Saccharomyces cerevisiae S288C: one gene and its partners. Changing the gene in region 2 together with the main gene of any one other region gives a genetic interaction. Each region holds a gene or a part of one and is shown on either strand. Other genes may lie near its edges. The genes, in order: LYS20, PRB1, GLR1 and MCT1.

Region 1 (4,969 bases), on a different chromosome or scaffold from region 2:
ATGACTTTGTTCAAGTCGCTTTCTAGTTCATGAACCTCTAAGAAATCTAAGATCAACGGAAGGGTTTTCTTGTTAAGTAGTAATTCTGGTGCACCTTTTGATTCCTTTTGATTGCCCTGCGTACGGCTGCTGGTCCCACGTTTATATACTTCCGTATATCCCAACAGTTCCCTGAATTCTAAATTTTGTTTTGAACTTTCCAGTAGACTCTTCAAGTGCTTAGCACCAAGGTAAGCTTTGATATTAACATAAGCTCTATAAGATAGGTAGAACCCTGGAACATTTGGTATAAGCGGTATTAAAATTAGAGGAATTGTCAGCGGGAGACCTAAAAGGCAATATAAAGTCCATTTTTTGTGATAAATTAAGCCTTCTTGGTAGAGCTTTTTCATTTGTCTCAAGCACTCATCAGGGCTAGAAATTCCAGGGGGATAATACACGTGTAAGGGTTGAGTATCGACCTGTTCTGCCTTTACGGTATAATCTTTCAATGTGAGTCGAATCTCTTGGGTCTTATCTTTCTCTCCCTTAATTCTCTTCAATATATAGCTTTCACTTGGTATGGTTAACAGACTATTTTCTGACCAGGGTGTGCTATTTAACAGAGACTGCACCATGGACACTATTTTTTTATTATACGATTTAGGGGACTTTTTCAGTTTTCTCCAAAGCTTTGCTGATTTCTCAACGATCCACTTTTCTGCTTTTAATATTCTAGACTGACTATTAAAGAGATTATCGGTATGCTTATAGTAAATGAATGATTCTTTGTCCGTTATTGGTATCACAGTCACTTTAACAGGATCATGCAGATATTTTTGGAGTGAAGCCTTTTCAAGTTTTGTTGAATACGCCCTCATTCCGTAGAACAGTCGAGAAGTGGCAGTTATACTAGTTGGCGGTATAAATATTGAACGTATCATCTTTAATCTAAAATACACCGGATGAAGTTTTGGTATTGTGATAAAATGATTCTATCGATGAAGAGCAATGATATGGATACTGCTACGTTGAAAAGGAAAAATTTCATGGCTAACTAGTAACTGAAACTGTGCCAGATAGCACACCCTTTAGATACTATCTTGGCACAATGCCCGATGCTTACTCCCCGGCGGAGACAGCCGTCAAGTCCATCCATCCAAAAGTGGAGGAAAAACAAGAAAATAAAGCTATCGAACAAGGAGCGTTGAAGTAAGAAAAACAAACGAAGAACTGAATAAACACAGCCTGCTTCAAATTATGGAAGGAGCTGTTACACATGGTAATTTTCTTATTTTTTTTGATAGATGGTGGAAAGTGGTAGCGTGGAAGTTGCGGATTATCACGACGTTTTATGGGCTCTAAATCGGTATAAGCTCAACAAATGGTTGAGGGCCGAATAAACGAAAAATTATTAGACCATAATTGCTACCAGCTGAAAGATTATCTCATTATAATACGCTTGAAACCCTCTAAAATGTCATTCGTAGTTAAGTACACTTTTTTGATCTCTCCAAGGTTAGCCGCCCATATAAAAAACTCTAGGAACCAAATTTGGTATACTGCGTGCGCTTGAGATTCAGTTTTTGTGTAAATCGGTTGCTGCAAACTATTTATATTAATGTTACATCGATGCAAGATTTTAGCCATGTTCCTAGTTTCTTGTCTATGAGCGTTTACTCAACCGAGACTCTTGTTTGCTATTATCTCGATTCGACGAACAAACAGTTCCCTGGGTATTCGAACAAAGCACAGTTGGTGATTTTGTTTGAAACTACAGACGTGCTCTCTTTTACAAAATAAATTGTAGGAAGTGATCCGCACAGGCAGAGGGAATTACAGATCACGCTCCTCTCTTATGACTAATGCACTCAGCATTTTCTCTTCCTTATAAACTCCGTCCACAGTACCCGATCAGCTGGCTCATCGTTATTCTAAATTAACTGATGACTGATGTTACGTCTGCGTCAAATTCCGCCGGAATATTGCGTAGTTTTAGTAAGAAAAAAACAAATTCCGACGGGAACTCTCTGCAAGGAAGTTTAAGCGTGGGTTACTTTGCTAGGTTGAGAAAAAGAATTCTTTAGAGGATCACACGTAGTAAAAGAAAAAAAAGATCTCTTCGCGCCACTCCCGGTTTCTCTGTGGATACGGCGTTACTAGCGTTGCAAGTGGCAAAAAAATGAGTAATGTCACAATGGCCTGGCCTTGTCCCACTATCCCTTATTCATGGTTGAAAAATATGACCAAAATTGCTGGGGAATTTTCTCTTCGGTAGTGGACGACGACGACATTAGAGCAATAGGCAATAATTTAATTTGCGCTTTAGGTTCTTGCTGACGATGATGCGTGAGTAATATTATTACCAAGTTTTAAGGGCCTCATCGCTGGCCATTTTTTACACCTGCTTAAATACCCGATGATGATATATATAAATGATATTGGCTGCTTATCGATAAAGTGTATTTGATATGTTCCCGTTTAGTTTATTCTTGTTTCTTATCTACATAACAAACAAAGGAAGGACCCTGTATTGTTTTCCTAAAGATGACTGCTGCTAAACCAAATCCATATGCTGCCAAACCGGGCGACTATCTTTCTAATGTAAATAATTTCCAGTTAATCGATTCGACGCTGAGAGAAGGTGAACAATTTGCCAACGCATTCTTCGATACTGAAAAAAAGATCGAAATTGCTAGAGCCTTGGACGATTTCGGTGTGGACTACATCGAGTTAACCTCACCAGTAGCATCTGAACAATCAAGAAAGGACTGTGAAGCTATATGTAAACTAGGTTTAAAGGCCAAGATCCTTACACACATTCGTTGTCATATGGATGACGCCAAAGTCGCCGTAGAGACTGGTGTCGACGGTGTCGATGTCGTTATCGGCACCTCCAAATTTTTAAGACAATATTCCCACGGTAAGGATATGAACTACATCGCCAAGAGTGCTGTTGAAGTCATTGAATTTGTCAAATCCAAAGGTATTGAAATCAGATTTTCCTCTGAAGATTCCTTCAGAAGTGATCTCGTTGATCTTTTGAACATTTATAAAACCGTTGACAAGATCGGTGTAAATAGAGTCGGTATTGCCGACACAGTTGGATGTGCCAACCCAAGACAAGTATATGAACTGATCAGAACTTTGAAGAGTGTTGTTTCATGTGACATCGAATGCCATTTCCACAACGATACTGGTTGTGCCATTGCAAACGCCTACACTGCTTTGGAAGGTGGTGCCAGATTGATTGACGTCAGTGTACTGGGTATTGGTGAAAGAAACGGTATCACTCCTCTAGGTGGGCTCATGGCAAGAATGATTGTTGCCGCACCAGACTATGTCAAGTCCAAATACAAGTTGCACAAGATCAGAGACATTGAAAACCTGGTCGCTGATGCTGTGGAAGTTAACATTCCATTCAACAACCCTATCACCGGGTTCTGTGCATTCACACATAAAGCAGGTATCCATGCCAAGGCCATTTTGGCTAACCCATCTACCTACGAAATCTTGGACCCTCACGATTTCGGTATGAAGAGGTATATCCACTTCGCCAACAGACTAACTGGCTGGAACGCCATCAAAGCCAGAGTCGACCAGTTGAACTTGAACTTGACGGATGACCAAATCAAGGAAGTTACTGCTAAGATTAAGAAGCTGGGTGATGTCAGATCGCTGAATATCGATGATGTTGACTCTATCATCAAGAACTTCCACGCAGAGGTCAGCACTCCTCAAGTACTATCTGCAAAAAAGAACAAGAAGAATGACAGCGATGTACCGGAACTGGCCACCATCCCCGCCGCCAAGCGGACTAAGCCATCCGCCTAACGTTCCCAAACCATTACATTATGTTCTTTCACTTATTACATACGATATATAGCATCTACATCTACATATCTAAATGATGTTTTTTCCCATCTACTTTGTCCGATACGCATTAAAAGAAGAAGATTTACTCTCCCGTGATGCCGGGCCAATCAGACGCGCGCATTCGCGGCAGAATAAGGGGAGGCTGCTGCGGGTACCAAATATCCAGATATTCACAATTATGCCAATCAACTGTCTAGTTGCTGACACCCATCGTTTTCCACTGCAACGAGGTTTTGGGGCTAGAAAAGGCGTTAACAATCGTTAGAGAAGGAGGGGTTCATAACTTGACTTGTTGTATCTTGTTTAAAACTTTCTTTGAATTTGTTCGTGGTTGAATTTGTTTTTGCTATCCCAAAGGAGTGCATTTTACACGCATTACTACAGCACACTTTTATACAGTTCCACAATAGAATATGTTACCACGTTCAGCATTAGCACGCTCATTGCAATTACAGCGCGGTGTGGCCGCAAGGTTCTACTCTGAAGGTTCTACCGGCACCCCAAGAGGGTCAGGCTCAGAGGATTCGTTTGTTAAAAGGGAAAGGGCCACGGAAGACTTCTTCGTTAGGCAGCGTGAGAAGGAGCAACTACGCCATTTGAAAGAACAACTGGAAAAACAACGAAAGAAGATTGATTCTTTGGAAAATAAAATTGACTCGATGACCAAATAATCATGCGTTTCCGCAGAAGCTTTTTTTTTTTTTTTTTTAGAATATTCTTACTCTTTTATAGTCAAACAGCAGAAAAACTATATAATAATACATCACACTGAGCTTTTGCATTTTCGATAACTATCATTCTAGTTTTCCTCTGGTTTGAATTTTCCTCTTGTCTGTCTGACTAATGTCACTCATTATTTCCACTTCGCGCAAAGTTCGTCCCAATGCGGAAAGGCATAGAAAGATAGGAACAGTGTGGAACATGGAAAAGTTCCAAATAACGTCAATAGTCCATACTTAAGATACGAAATTTCAAAATTCCTTCTTTTTTGTTTCAACAAGCTTAGCCTAACACCAAGAATATACTTAGCATCTCTTCGCATTCAAAATTTCTCTTCCATTCTTTGACGTTTTAAATCATACCTCGTATTCTTTACACAAAAGAAAGATACCTG
Region 2 (5,498 bases):
GAGTCGACATAGTAGAACACAACCCTGTCTGCGTCACCATCAAAGGAGCAATATAGCGAATCAAACGAGGATGGAGAAAGACCCTTGGGTAATCTCTGGTTAGTCTTCACATAATCCGCACCGCATTCAAAATTCAACAGTTCTGGAACATCGGACCTGTCGTTGATTACCTCAACTTGCTCCGCTGGCACGTCCCAATCTTCGGAGGCCAGTAGTTTTTTCAACTGTGGACCACCGATACCATTGGCTGTGTCTATGAACAATTTTGGGACAGACAGCCTCTTCTCCAGCTGATACGTGGCGAAGAGCTCGTTGAAGGCTCCTATAAAGAACGAATAGTAGTCCTGTTCTGTGGCAACTGGCGCTGTGTCTCCTTCCAGTTTCCGCCTGTTGGACAAATCAGTAATGTAATGCAATTGAGGCGTAGTGACACAGCCTAGGTCCAAAACTTGCGCGTGGAAGACGCTGGCCATGGAGGAAGTCAAGCAGCGCAGCAAGTATGGACTACTTTCCCTAGAGTCTCTCCCAACCACGATGTGAGGCACGACGGTTGTATTCAAATCAATCTTTTCGTGTTCAATCAGCTTGGCCAACTCAACACGAAATTCTTCAAAATTAGTGGCAAAAGAGGCCGCATTGGCCAACTGCATGGCATATGGCTCCCATGTGGCCAAAAGCATCGATCCGTCTGGTTCCACGATCTTGACCCCGTTGTCCTGGTATGGGTTGTGCGACGCCGTGATCATCACCCCCACATACTGACCCTGAAGCTTCAGCGACCTGAGAACCGCCAGTATACCAGTACTGAACATCACCGTATCCAAATTCTTGGCCAGCGTTCTGAATCCGGCCGTACCGTAACTGAACTGCACATTCTTTGTGCGGCACGTGTCATCGTAGAGTTTGCACAATTGCTCGTAATCAACCTTCATCGTCTCTAAGCTTACTGCTGACCTTTGCCTTGGTCCTTGTACTTGTCTCGATTGCTGAAACCATTAACGGTTTTTTGTTCTTACTTAATCTTTTTTTTCCCGACGACGCAAAATGTCAGAAAAGATATAAATAGAGCAACGTTTCCTGCTACATGAAACACGCTGGCATATAGAAGAACTTCAACGAGCGAGGCTCTCTGAACAATCTGCTAATCGTGCAAGTAAGGGTTCTCGTGACAGTTCACCGTGTATAAACAGATAAACAGATAAACAGTCAGATATGCTTAATTTTTAACTGTAGGCTGTGCCGACATGCCATTTTATGCGGCTCACTTCTAACAAAAGTGACCATGACGCACAAGCAAGCAAACAGCCAAGTAAGGAAGCAGACAGCTTCACAGCACACACACACCGTTGTGTACGAAAATCCTCTGCAGAAGAGTGTATATGCCACTCATCCACACTTCCGCAGCGCAGTACGTAATGCGGTATCGTGAAAGCGAAAAAAAAACTAACAGTAGATAAGACAGATAGACAGATAGAGATGGACGAGAAACAGGGGGGGAGAAAAGGGGAAAAGAGAAGGAAAGAAAGACTCATCTATCGCAGATAAGACAATCAACCCTCATGGCGCCTCCAACCACCATCCGCACTAGGGACCAAGCGCTCGCACCGTTAGCAACGCTTGACTCACAAACCAACTGCCGGCTGAAAGAGCTTGTGCAATGGGAGTGCCAATTCAAAGGAGCCGAATACGTCTGCTCGCCTTTTAAGAGGCTTTTTGAACACTGCATTGCACCCGACAAATCAGCCACTAACTACGAGGTCACGGACACATATACCAATAGTTAAAAATTACATATACTCTATATAGCACAGTAGTGTGATAAATAAAAAATTTTGCCAAGACTTTTTTAAACTGCACCCGACAGATCAGGTCTGTGCCTACTATGCACTTATGCCCGGGGTCCCGGGAGGAGAAAAAACGAGGGCTGGGAAATGTCCGTGGACTTTAAACGCTCCGGGTTAGCAGAGTAGCAGGGCTTTCGGCTTTGGAAATTTAGGTGACTTGTTGAAAAAGCAAAATTTGGGCTCAGTAATGCCACTGCAGTGGCTTATCACGCCAGGACTGCGGGAGTGGCGGGGGCAAACACACCCGCGATAAAGAGCGCGATGAATATAAAAGGGGGCCAATGTTACGTCCCGTTATATTGGAGTTCTTCCCATACAAACTTAAGAGTCCAATTAGCTTCATCGCCAATAAAAAAACAAACTAAACCTAATTCTAACAAGCAAAGATGAAGTTAGAAAATACTCTATTTACACTCGGTGCCCTAGGGAGCATCTCTGCTGCTTTGGTCATCCCAAATCTTGAAAATGCCGCCGACCACCACGAACTGATTAACAAGGAAGATCACCACGAGAGACCCAGAAAAGTGGAATTCACTAAGGACGATGATGAGGAGCCATCTGACTCTGAAGATAAAGAACATGGAAAGTTCCATAAGAAGGGCCGCAAGGGCCAAGACAAGGAGTCTCCGGAATTCAACGGTAAACGTGCAAGTGGCTCTCATGGGAGCGCCCACGAGGGAGGAAAGGGCATGAAGCCTAAGCATGAAAGTTCCAATGATGATGATAATGATGATAAGAAGAAGAAGCCTCACCATAAGGGTGGCTGCCACGAAAATAAGGTGGAGGAGAAGAAGATGAAAGGTAAGAAAGTCAAGGGCAAGAAGCACCACGAAAAGACGTTGGAGAAAGGGAGGCACCACAACAGGCTGGCTCCTCTCGTGTCCACTGCACAATTCAACCCAGACGCGATCTCCAAGATCATCCCCAACCGCTACATTATAGTCTTCAAGAGAGGTGCCCCTCAAGAAGAGATCGATTTCCACAAGGAAAACGTCCAGCAGGCACAACTTCAATCCGTAGAGAACTTATCTGCCGAAGACGCTTTCTTCATTTCTACTAAAGACACCTCCTTGTCCACCTCTGAGGCTGGCGGTATCCAGGACTCATTCAACATCGATAATCTTTTCTCCGGTTACATCGGTTACTTCACCCAAGAGATTGTCGACTTGATACGTCAAAACCCATTAGTAGACTTTGTTGAGAGAGACTCTATTGTCGAGGCTACAGAATTTGACACTCAAAATAGCGCCCCATGGGGGTTGGCCCGTATTTCCCACAGAGAGCGCCTCAACCTGGGGTCCTTCAACAAGTATCTCTACGATGATGATGCCGGTCGCGGTGTCACGTCCTATGTTATTGACACGGGTGTCAACATCAACCACAAGGACTTCGAAAAGAGAGCCATTTGGGGGAAAACCATCCCACTTAACGACGAAGATCTCGACGGTAACGGCCACGGTACCCACTGTGCCGGTACTATCGCTTCCAAACACTACGGTGTCGCTAAAAATGCCAACGTTGTTGCGGTGAAAGTCTTGAGATCAAACGGGTCTGGTACCATGTCTGATGTCGTCAAAGGTGTCGAATATGCCGCAAAGGCGCACCAAAAAGAAGCCCAAGAAAAGAAAAAGGGGTTCAAAGGTTCCACAGCCAATATGTCGCTTGGTGGTGGCAAGTCCCCAGCTTTGGACTTGGCTGTTAATGCAGCCGTTGAAGTCGGTATTCACTTTGCCGTGGCTGCTGGTAACGAAAACCAAGACGCTTGTAATACCTCCCCAGCTTCTGCTGACAAGGCCATCACCGTCGGAGCTTCCACGTTGAGCGATGACAGAGCCTACTTTTCCAACTGGGGTAAGTGTGTCGACGTTTTCGCCCCAGGTTTAAACATTTTGTCCACCTACATTGGAAGTGATGACGCCACCGCCACTTTATCGGGTACCTCAATGGCTTCCCCTCACGTTGCTGGTTTGTTGACCTACTTTTTGTCTTTGCAACCAGGTTCTGATAGTGAATTTTTCGAATTGGGCCAGGATTCTTTGACTCCTCAGCAATTGAAAAAGAAGCTAATTCATTACAGTACAAAGGACATTTTGTTCGATATCCCTGAAGACACTCCAAATGTTTTAATCTACAACGGTGGTGGTCAAGATTTGTCCGCTTTCTGGAATGATACCAAAAAGTCCCATTCATCTGGTTTCAAGCAAGAATTGAACATGGATGAATTCATTGGATCAAAGACCGATTTAATCTTTGATCAAGTGAGAGATATTCTTGATAAATTGAATATTATTTAATTCTTCATTTAGAAAAATTTCAGCTGCTTTTTTTTTTCTTTTTCTTTCCTTAGGCGTCTCGAGGTTACAAGTCGGAGTCCCTCTTCACTATCGTTTGTCCACTTTTTTTATATCCCCATTATTTTCAATCTGAATTTCATTTTTTTTTTTTAATTCATGAAATTTATATGTCCCACGTATTACTACATATTTGCGTTTTTAATTAAATAAATAACTGTTACTTTTATTATATCTTATTTGCAGATCACTTATCTGATCAAATGTTTTCGTTTTCGTGTGTGGTGACGATGTATTAGGTACGCGAAATAAACAAAACAAACAAACAAGGCCGCAACAATAACATCATCTAAAGACTTCCTTTGTGACCCGCTTCTCAACAGCGGGTGTAGAACTTATGGTATGGCCAGAAAGTAACGTTGAGTATAGATACAGAAGCAAGCAATTCAAAGGAAAAAGTAATAAAAAGTATATAAAAGCGCAAAAAATACAACAAGAAAGAATTTGTTTGATGCCAGCGGAAAACCAAAATACGGGTCAAGATAGAAGCTCCAACAGCATCAGTAAAAATGGCAACTCTCAGGTTGGATGTCACACTGTTCCTAATGAGGAACTGAACATCACTGTAGCTGTGCGATGCAGAGGAAGGAATGAAAGGGAAATTAGTATGAAAAGCTCCGTTGTGGTAAATGTTCCAGATATTACAGGTTCTAAAGAAATTTCCATTAACACGACGGGAGATACCGGTATAACTGCTCAAATGAATGCCAAGAGATACACAGTGGACAAAGTCTTCGGTCCCGGCGCTTCCCAGGATCTAATTTTTGATGAAGTGGCGGGCCCATTATTCCAGGATTTCATTAAAGGTTACAATTGCACCGTACTGGTATATGGTATGACGTCAACAGGTAAAACATATACAATGACGGGCGACGAAAAGTTATATAATGGTGAATTGAGCGATGCAGCAGGAATTATACCGAGGGTTCTTTTGAAGTTGTTTGACACATTGGAACTACAACAGAACGATTACGTAGTAAAATGTTCGTTCATTGAACTCTACAACGAAGAATTGAAGGACCTCTTGGACAGCAATAGCAACGGCTCTAGTAATACTGGCTTTGACGGCCAATTTATGAAAAAATTGAGGATTTTTGATTCAAGCACAGCAAATAATACCACTAGCAACAGTGCTAGTAGTTCCAGGAGTAATTCTAGGAACAGTTCTCCGAGGTCATTAAATGATCTAACACCTAAAGCTGCTCTATTAAGAAAAAGGTTAAGGACAAAATCACTGCCGAATACCATCAAGCAACAGTATCAACAACAACAGGCAGTGAATTCCAGGAACAACTCTTCCTCT
Region 3 (5,094 bases), on a different chromosome or scaffold from region 2:
GATCCAAGGCCGACAGGATGGCCAAGATGGAAAGAAGAGAAAGAAATAGACATGCCAAGCAAGGTGAATCTGATAGACACAATGCTGTTTCCTTATCAAAGCATTTATTCAGTGGTAAGCGTGGTGTCGGTAAGACAGATTTCCGTTGATTTCTCTACTTCTTATTCTTTCTTTTGCATGTACTTTAAAAAAAATATGAATATAAAATGTGGATGTACGTACACGACATTCTAATCTTTTTGGGCTGGTAGGATTACCATTTACATTTGATTATCTCTCTCACTATTAGTGGTTTCTTTTTCTTTCTTTCTCACTTTTTCTGTATCTTTTTTTTAAAAAAATTTTATTTAATCTGTATAATAATAATAAACCGATTTAAATTATCCAACAAGCCGACCCCTCCATGTTCTACTATTTTTTTGTATGTCACTGGATGTATACAAATAATTAAGCATGTGGAAAAAGAAGGGGTGGGATAGCGTCAAGATGACACTTCTACTTTTTTGTGACACATCATCATGCAACCTATCGAGTCTCCCACGAGGTTGACAAATAAGAAATTGTTATCGTTTTTGCAGTGTATCGTATAAGGCAACAATAGCGATGTCTCCCATCAATTGACTGATAAATTCCTGCAAACTATCATTTTTTTTTTTTCATCCTTGTGCCGCGTCTGTAGCCGAAAATCTGAGAGTGCATGAATCTTAAAAAACAGAAGACTCATCGCCGTCTTTGGCACATTGGGGTTGTCTTTGACTTCTTTTGCTTATTTTTGCTCACTTTGCTTATTTTACCTATTTAACTAGAGGTTCTAAAAGAATAGCCAACCAGCGTGTAGTTCTTATTTCTAATCCTTGTCTTGTTAAGTTGAAACTTGTGATATTGGCTGAACAAATTCTCCGCATTTAGACAACACACAAATTACAGCTTTCCCCTAGTAACGATTGTTGATTGAGCTCAGACAATACGCGCAATTTAAAAACGTTTTATAGTGTAAGAGAAGACAAGTACAAGAAAAAAATGGTTGCCAATTGGGTACTTGCTCTTACGAGGCAGTTTGACCCCTTCATGTTTATGATGGTCATGGGTGTCGGCATTTCATCGAATATTCTATATAGCTTCCCATATCCTGCAAGGTGGCTAAGAATATGCTCCTACATCATGTTTGCTATCGCTTGCCTTATTTTCATTGCTGTGCAGGCACTACAAATATTACATTTGATTGTCTATATTAAGGAGAAAAGCTTCAGAGAATATTTTAATGACTTTTTCAGAAATATGAAGCACAATTTATTTTGGGGTACTTATCCCATGGGGTTAGTTACAATTATAAATTTCTTAGGAGCACTCTCGAAAGCGAACACGACGAAGAGCCCCACTAATGCCAGAAATTTGATGATATTTGTTTACGTCTTGTGGTGGTATGATCTCGCAGTCTGTCTAGTAATAGCGTGGGGTATCTCGTTTCTCATCTGGCATGACTATTACCCTTTGGAAGGGATTGGGAATTATCCTTCATATAATATCAAAATGGCATCCGAAAACATGAAAAGTGTATTGCTACTGGATATCATTCCGCTGGTTGTCGTCGCTTCAAGTTGTGGAACATTCACAATGTCAGAAATATTCTTCCATGCGTTTAATAGAAACATTCAACTGATAACGTTGGTCATATGTGCCTTAACGTGGCTGCATGCCATTATCTTCGTCTTCATACTGATTGCGATATACTTCTGGAGTCTTTATATTAATAAGATACCACCAATGACACAGGTTTTCACCTTATTCCTGCTTTTGGGCCCGATGGGCCAAGGAAGTTTTGGAGTCTTATTGCTTACAGATAATATAAAAAAATATGCGGGCAAATATTACCCAACAGATAACATTACAAGAGAACAAGAGATATTGACTATTGCAGTTCCATGGTGTTTCAAAATTCTAGGCATGGTTTCTGCTATGGCATTGCTCGCTATGGGCTATTTTTTCACCGTGATTTCTGTCGTTTCAATCCTGTCGTACTACAATAAAAAAGAGATTGAAAACGAGACAGGAAAAGTGAAGAGAGTTTATACCTTCCACAAAGGTTTTTGGGGGATGACTTTCCCGATGGGTACTATGTCTTTAGGAAACGAAGAGTTATATGTGCAGTATAACCAGTACGTTCCCTTATATGCATTTAGAGTCCTAGGAACCATATACGGCGGTGTTTGCGTTTGTTGGTCAATTCTATGCCTTTTATGCACATTGCATGAGTATTCTAAAAAGATGCTGCATGCTGCCCGTAAATCTTCATTATTTTCAGAGTCAGGTACGGAAAAGACGACAGTTTCTCCGTATAACAGCATTGAAAGCGTGGAAGAATCAAACTCGGCTCTAGATTTTACGCGTTTAGCATAAAATTGTTGGTTTTATACGTACATAATTGGCAAGCATTTCATGTAGGAGTCTCAATAGATAGTTTAATTCATTTGCACGGCGCTTTGCTGCTTTTGCTTCTTCACGTTGGTTTTCACTATGCCTGATATTTTTTGACGTCACTTAGTAAGCACGACCCTTGTCAATTTTTCGAGGATTTCGGAGCTTTCCATTTGGAATCTACTATTAAAATCAGTCTAAAAAAGTATAAGAAACACTTCTGGTTTTTCTCATGCGCTTCTCACTCTCAGTATATTTTGCTGCTTTCCTTCATATGTATATATATCTATTTACATATTAGTTTACAGAACTTTATGCTTTCTGCAACCAAACAAACATTTAGAAGTCTACAGATAAGAACTATGTCCACGAACACCAAGCATTACGATTACCTCGTCATCGGGGGTGGCTCAGGGGGTGTTGCTTCCGCAAGAAGAGCTGCATCTTATGGTGCGAAGACATTACTAGTTGAAGCTAAGGCTCTTGGTGGTACCTGTGTTAACGTGGGTTGTGTTCCGAAGAAAGTCATGTGGTATGCTTCTGACCTCGCTACTAGAGTATCCCATGCAAATGAATATGGATTATATCAGAATCTTCCATTAGATAAAGAGCATTTGACTTTTAATTGGCCAGAATTTAAGCAGAAAAGGGATGCTTATGTCCATAGGTTGAACGGTATATACCAGAAGAATTTAGAAAAAGAAAAAGTGGATGTTGTATTTGGATGGGCTAGATTCAATAAGGACGGTAATGTTGAAGTTCAGAAAAGGGATAATACTACTGAAGTTTACTCCGCTAACCATATTTTAGTTGCGACCGGTGGAAAGGCTATTTTCCCCGAAAACATTCCAGGTTTCGAATTAGGTACTGATTCTGATGGGTTCTTTAGATTGGAAGAACAACCTAAGAAAGTTGTTGTTGTTGGCGCTGGTTATATTGGTATTGAGCTAGCAGGTGTGTTCCATGGGCTGGGATCCGAAACGCACTTGGTAATTAGAGGTGAAACTGTCTTGAGAAAATTTGATGAATGCATCCAGAACACTATTACTGACCATTACGTAAAGGAAGGCATCAACGTTCATAAACTATCCAAAATTGTTAAGGTGGAGAAAAATGTAGAAACTGACAAACTGAAAATACATATGAATGACTCAAAGTCCATCGATGACGTTGACGAATTAATTTGGACAATTGGACGTAAATCCCATCTAGGTATGGGTTCAGAAAATGTAGGTATAAAGCTGAACTCTCATGACCAAATAATTGCTGATGAATATCAGAACACCAATGTTCCAAACATTTATTCTCTAGGTGACGTTGTTGGAAAAGTTGAATTGACACCTGTCGCTATTGCAGCGGGCAGAAAGCTGTCTAATAGACTGTTTGGTCCAGAGAAATTCCGTAATGACAAACTAGATTACGAGAACGTCCCCAGCGTAATTTTCTCACATCCTGAAGCCGGTTCCATTGGTATTTCTGAGAAGGAAGCCATTGAAAAGTACGGTAAGGAGAATATAAAGGTCTACAATTCCAAATTTACCGCCATGTACTATGCTATGTTGAGTGAGAAATCACCCACAAGATATAAAATTGTTTGTGCGGGACCAAATGAAAAGGTTGTCGGTCTGCACATTGTTGGTGATTCCTCTGCAGAAATCTTGCAAGGGTTCGGTGTTGCTATAAAGATGGGTGCCACTAAGGCTGATTTCGATAATTGTGTTGCTATTCATCCGACTAGCGCAGAAGAATTGGTTACTATGAGATGAAGCAACGAAACTAGACGTCCAATCTGCTGTTGCTATACTGGACTTTTGTACTCTTGTAAACAATCTTATATAGCATCCTGAAATACGTAGTAATTTTGTCATTTCTGTTCAAGGACAAGGGTTCCTTTTTTTTTCAGACTATTAGCTACTGTGGACTCGCTTGGATATTCAGTTGAGGATACATTCCGACTCTCGTTTACAATACATATGATTATTTTTCTTTTTGTTAATTATATAAAAAATAAAGTTATTTGATTTTAAGCTTAAAAATACACAAAATACAGAATAAGAAAGGAGTTTTTGAACAAAAGAATTTATCTTTTACTGCTTTCTAACTTTAAGCCTTCAAAGAAGAAGCTCTTCTCTTTCTGATTTCAGCCTTCTCAGCCTTTCTTTCAGACAATCTCTTAGCCAACAATTGAGCGTATTCGGCAGCAGCTTCTCTTTGAGCTTGAGCGTTTCTGACCTTCAAAGCTCTTTGGTGTCTCTTTCTTTGCAATCTTTGAGGAGTAACCAATCTTTGGATCTTTGGAGCCTTGGTGTAAGTCTTTTCACCCTTGGTGACTTCTCTTCTGATGACGAAATCACGAACGTCATCTTCCTTGGACAAACCGAAGAACTTTCTGATGTTGTTAGCTCTCTTTGGACCCAATCTCTTTGGAACAGTAGTGTCAGTTAGACCTTCCAATTCTTGCTCACCCTTCTTGACAATGACCAAAGCCAAGACAGCCAAATCTGGACCAACAATGGCACCTCTGACGGACTTTCTCTTTCTTTCACCATCACGTCTTGGTCTGTAACAAGAAACGTTCTTGGTCAACAACAACTTGATTCTAGTTGGCAACAAAACACCTTGCTTCATTGGGAAACCTTGTTTGTCGTTACCACCAGAGATCTTGAAGACGTAACCCTT
Region 4 (4,744 bases), on a different chromosome or scaffold from region 2:
GTGGCCCGAAACTGTTGCCTCAGCAGTTCGATTTCTTGCTCAGTAAATCCCACGGATCGTAGCCTATCAAACCCGATGGCCTGCGTGGTCATGGAGTCATTGGACGGAGTTGCATCGTCCTTTAGATCTTCGTTGGCTAACTCTGCTTGTGTCAGCTCCTCTGTACCAATTATACAATGAATATAGTAGTTGTTCTGCTCTGGTGCCACGCTGGTGCCTGTTGCGACGTTAGAGTTATTAGCAGTATCGAAGTAATGCGTCAGTTCCTCAGCAATCTTGGAATGCGTATTCAGAATACTCCCGTTCCTTATAAACTTCAGTCTTCTTTTTTGTGTTTGTTGGGGCCTCAATTCTCTACACATCCGACGTAGCCAGTGGGTATTTATATTCGAAAATGGTACATTTGATATGTTCAACTGCAGATCCCTTACTGATACGTCGGAAAACCGTATCACAATGAACTTCTGATCTGGGGACCTCACTTCCCCTCCCTGCGATCCGTTATGTGTGGGTAATAATGGTTCTGCGGACATAATTTTATCAATGTATGCTGCCTTTCACCTCTCTCTTTGCTTGGTTTATATCACAAGCGTCTTCTTTAATAACTCAAGGGACCCTAATACGCCGTTCTTTATATTCAACTCCGGGTAATGGAGATAGTATATATATATTTTTTTTTCCTCCCAGTGCAACTATAAAAAGAGATGAAGAATTTCTAAAGAGTACTACCTCGGTTTTACTTCTTGTATATTTACTCTTTTTATTTCAAATTTTAAAAAAAAACCATACAAAATTAATCGTGCGGATTAATAATCCAGGACTATAAAACCGTGTTGTTTATATCGAGTCTCTTTTGGTATAAGCGTCAAGTCCATCGGAGAGATCATCATTTTGTTCATCTTAATGCCCTTTTGTGTAGGAAATTGAGGGAAGTTTAGGCTTCTCAACATTTTAAGACGCCTATGCAAGGGCTGGTAGGACAGACATGCTATTCTTATTTTGACGTAGAAATAACGTAGTTAAGATTGAAGAGGAAAGAGGTATTCTATATACAATAAATATCAGTGTCCGTACTTCAGATCCCTGAAAAAGTTCATCATACCGGTAAAAACCACCAACATTAATGAACCACCGGGTGCTAGTCTACATACTTTGGGGACGAAACCTTTGTACAATGCTCTGAAGCCTTCTTCACGGTATATGACCAATAGCGAAGGTAGGCACCAGTTGTATTTTTTAACAGCACTGCTGACCGCGTCCACACTTTGGATTCTGGATTTCACCACGTCAAAGGGAGTGTTAAGCATGGTCCCGACCGTACCACCGATCGCACCTGCAATAAGGTCATTTCTGGTCTTTTGTCCCTTTGTCTTTGCTACGGGCATGGAATTTCTCACTTGGTAGATAACACCGAAGTAGCCACCATTCCAAAGAGCGTTTCTCCACATGGTAGATTCGATACCCTTGTATAGCCCCATAATACCTTCGTTTTTGATTGTTTTTTTCAAACAGTCCATTGGTCCAAGATAGCTGGACTTGACGTCTTGCATCCTGATTTTGATCAATTCAAATGGAACAATAACTGCAGCTTCTGTCATACCAGCAGATGCACCAGCCGCAATGGAGATCTTCTGCGTAGTTTCATTCGTGTTGAATAGGTTTTTGAAGATTTTTTGATATTGATCGTTACATGCAAATTTGGTGGCTCTCTTTGGTGCTTCCATCAACATTGGTGAACTAATACCTCTGTAAAGTCTGCTAAACCCTTCCTTCTTTACAATTTTTTTCAAACAATCGATGACACCATTATATCTCTCTACTTGCTTTCCTACTGCAGCGGCAGTAGGCGTCGTCACCTCCAGTTGAAATCTTGTCTTAACAACATCAAGCGGATACATAACAGTTAACTCAGAAATACCGGCGACGGCACCTGATATGAACTGATATATAAAAGGCAATGGCTTTGCGTTTGAGTCTGATGACATATTACTTTGATGCTACCTCGAATTACTTGACTATATAGAATCTAACCCAGTAAAAAAGTGCAGAAGAGCTTCAGACTGAAAAAACGAAGAGAACGTTTTATAACAGAATTACTTGCAAATGCATGTCGAGTCGAAAGTGATCGCGACTGCACTGAGTCATCAACAACAAGATCTTTCGAGATAGACAGGCAAAAAAAGCTCACCACGAAAAAACTGAAAAAAAAAAAGTTCCAGAGGAATTTGCCTGGCATAGAATAATAGCATTCGTAGTACCACTATTTCATGTTAGAAATGCACAAGCAATTGAATGTCAACGACAGAAGAGGACTAAGTAGTATGCAGAAGAACTAGAACTCCTATCTGAGAAGAACTAATTGGTCAACCATGTCTCATTGTCCTTACATTTGATAAATGCCGATCTTCTAAAACAGTAAACACACGTTAGCATCGCCTTGTGTTAACGAAGTAAAAAGGCTTGCTAAACCGAAAGTACACAATATGCTTGTCTTGAGAAAGTTGGAAGAAAATTATAGGCCCTTAAATATACTCAAAATGCAGAAAGTGTCATCTTCTTACATGGCATTTTTTGGCCGTATGACAAGGCGCATTTCAACCTCCGATGGAGGAAGTAAACTGAGTATCGAACTCAAGGGTAAAACAAAGCTTACCAGTAACTTGCTGCATATTAGAACTATTCAATAACGTACACTGAGGGTAGTAACAAAGCGTTTTGCACTTTTCTGATCGTGGTACACATATATAAGCGTTTGTATGAAGCTACTAACCTTCCCAGGTCAAGGGACCTCCATCTCCATTTCGATATTAAAAGCGATAATAAGAAACAAATCAAGAGAATTCCAAACAATACTGAGTCAGAACGGCAAGGAATCAAATGATCTATTGCAGTACATCTTCCAGAACCCTTCCAGCCCCGGAAGCATTGCAGTCTGCTCCAACCTTTTCTATCAATTGTACCAGATACTCTCGAATCCTTCTGATCCTCAAGATCAAGCACCAAAAAATATGACTAAGATCGATTCCCCCGACAAGAAAGACAATGAACAATGTTACCTTTTGGGTCACTCGCTAGGCGAGTTAACATGTCTGAGTGTTAATTCACTGTTTTCGTTAAAGGATCTTTTTGATATTGCTAATTTTAGAAATAAGTTAATGGTAACATCTACTGAAAAGTACTTAGTAGCCCACAATATCAACAGATCCAACAAATTTGAAATGTGGGCACTCTCTTCTCCGAGGGCCACAGATTTACCGCAAGAAGTGCAAAAACTACTAAATTCCCCTAATTTATTATCATCTTCACAAAATACCATTTCTGTAGCAAATGCAAATTCAGTAAAGCAATGTGTAGTCACCGGTCTGGTTGATGATTTAGAGTCCTTAAGAACAGAATTGAACTTAAGGTTCCCGCGTTTAAGAATTACAGAATTAACTAACCCATACAACATCCCCTTCCATAATAGCACTGTGTTGAGGCCCGTTCAGGAACCACTCTATGACTACATTTGGGATATATTAAAGAAAAACGGAACTCACACGTTGATGGAGTTGAACCATCCAATAATAGCTAACTTAGATGGTAATATATCTTACTATATTCATCATGCCCTAGATAGATTCGTTAAGTGTTCAAGCAGGACTGTGCAATTCACCATGTGTTATGATACCATAAACTCTGGAACCCCAGTGGAAATTGATAAGAGTATTTGCTTTGGCCCGGGCAATGTGATTTATAACCTTATTCGGAGAAATTGTCCCCAAGTGGACACTATAGAATACACCTCTTTAGCAACTATAGACGCTTATCACAAGGCGGCAGAGGAGAACAAAGATTGAGAAAGAGATCAAAACTGCGAACTCTCTCCACTCCCAGTCTGTGCTTCTACGCATTCATTGAAAATGGAAAGAGGACGAAAGTGTGCAAAAAATTAGCCAACTTCCCTTTATATAAATATCGTATACACATACATACATTCCTTCTATACTAATCGCTCTTGGATACACTAAAACAAATCCCTAATGCAAACATACATGTTATTATGCCATACAAAGTAAACACGCAAGTATATAAACGTATAAATGGATATATAGATATCTCTACGCATATTCTTTACATTATCATAGCATGAACCTTTTTCCCTTTTTCTGCTTTGTCTAATTTATAGTATTAGTTATGCTCTAGTGCTCTAATGGAAAAACTCGTTAACCGTTATGCTTGGACTTTTTGGAGGATTTGAGGCAGTAGCGTTTACATCATTTTCGGTACACGATGCAGCATTACTTCTAGTAGAAGTATCAATGGTCAATCCTAGTGGCTTAGAGGCGAAAAGGCATTTGGTGCCTGACGCTGACTTATCCTTATTTTCTAGTTGTGAAGGTAATGATGTCTGTGAACTTCTGTTCAATGAGAGGTTCGAAGTTGAAGAAGACGACCTAGAAAGCTTTGGTAGCGGTTCTTGGTAACTAAATGGCTTTGAATCCGTCGAAAGCTTCAACATTGTGGGCGATTCTAGAGATGATTTATCCGGAGATAATGAAGAGCCTCCCTTATTGAGGGATGAACTGTCTACTCCAGTGACTCCTGGATCTGTATTAATAGATAAGAGCGGTTTGTTGCGATGATCCTCCAAAAGTGCCAAGTTATTATCTTGCAACGAAACAGCATCATCCGTGGAACGAGATCGCGGATGTTGATTATTTAAAAGGGACTCAGTTACAAATAACTTCATCGGACCGCTATT

Evidence for each region.
Region 1: mutations in PRB1 (region 2) and LYS20 together harm fitness more than expected from each alone (negative genetic interaction), as found in Saccharomyces cerevisiae (2 studies listed by BioGRID).
Region 3: mutations in PRB1 (region 2) and GLR1 together harm fitness more than expected from each alone (negative genetic interaction), as found in Saccharomyces cerevisiae (2 studies listed by BioGRID).
Region 4: mutations in PRB1 (region 2) and MCT1 together harm fitness more than expected from each alone (negative genetic interaction), as found in Saccharomyces cerevisiae (2 studies listed by BioGRID).

The regions. Positions count from the first base shown.
Region 1 is NC_001136.10:130,911-135,879, forward strand, and holds LYS20 (homocitrate synthase LYS20), read left to right. Parts: upstream 1-2,526; coding exon 2,527-3,813; downstream 3,814-4,969. Other genes in the region: MRX19 (Mrx19p), read right to left, coding at 1-923; INH1 (ATPase inhibitor), read left to right, coding at 4,269-4,526. UniProt on the Saccharomyces cerevisiae protein: Catalyzes the aldol-type condensation of 2-oxoglutarate with acetyl-CoA to yield homocitrate. Carries out the first step of the alpha-aminoadipate (AAA) lysine biosynthesis pathway.
Region 2 is NC_001137.3:38,686-44,183, reverse strand, and holds PRB1 (proteinase B), read left to right. Parts: upstream 1-2,230; coding exon 2,231-4,138; downstream 4,139-5,498. Other genes in the region: phosphoacetylglucosamine mutase PCM1, read right to left, coding at 1-932; HHY1 (Hhy1p), read right to left, coding at 1,224-1,532; SOM1 (Som1p), read left to right, coding at 1,560-1,784; kinesin motor protein CIN8, read left to right, coding at 4,647-5,498. UniProt on the Saccharomyces cerevisiae protein: Vacuolar proteinase B involved in protein degradation in the vacuole. Among other substrates, acts on carboxypeptidase Y (cpY/PRC1) to activate it by processing its Pro-peptide.
Region 3 is NC_001148.4:372,773-377,866, forward strand, and holds GLR1 (glutathione-disulfide reductase GLR1), read left to right. Parts: upstream 1-2,729; coding exon 2,730-4,181; downstream 4,182-5,094. Other genes in the region: putative GTPase NOG1, read left to right, coding at 1-149; SSU1 (Ssu1p), read left to right, coding at 1,021-2,397; 40S ribosomal protein eS6 RPS6A, read right to left, coding at 4,519-5,094. UniProt on the Saccharomyces cerevisiae protein: Catalyzes the reduction of glutathione disulfide (GSSG) to reduced glutathione (GSH). Constitutes the major mechanism to maintain a high GSH:GSSG ratio in the cytosol.
Region 4 is NC_001147.6:755,571-760,314, reverse strand, and holds MCT1 ([acyl-carrier-protein] S-malonyltransferase), read left to right. Parts: upstream 1-2,756; coding exon 2,757-3,839; downstream 3,840-4,744. Other genes in the region: DSC3 (Dsc3p), read right to left, coding at 1-533; ODC2 (mitochondrial 2-oxodicarboxylate carrier), read right to left, coding at 1,062-1,985; RCN2 (Rcn2p), read right to left, coding at 4,190-4,744. UniProt on the Saccharomyces cerevisiae protein: Involved in biosynthesis of fatty acids in mitochondria.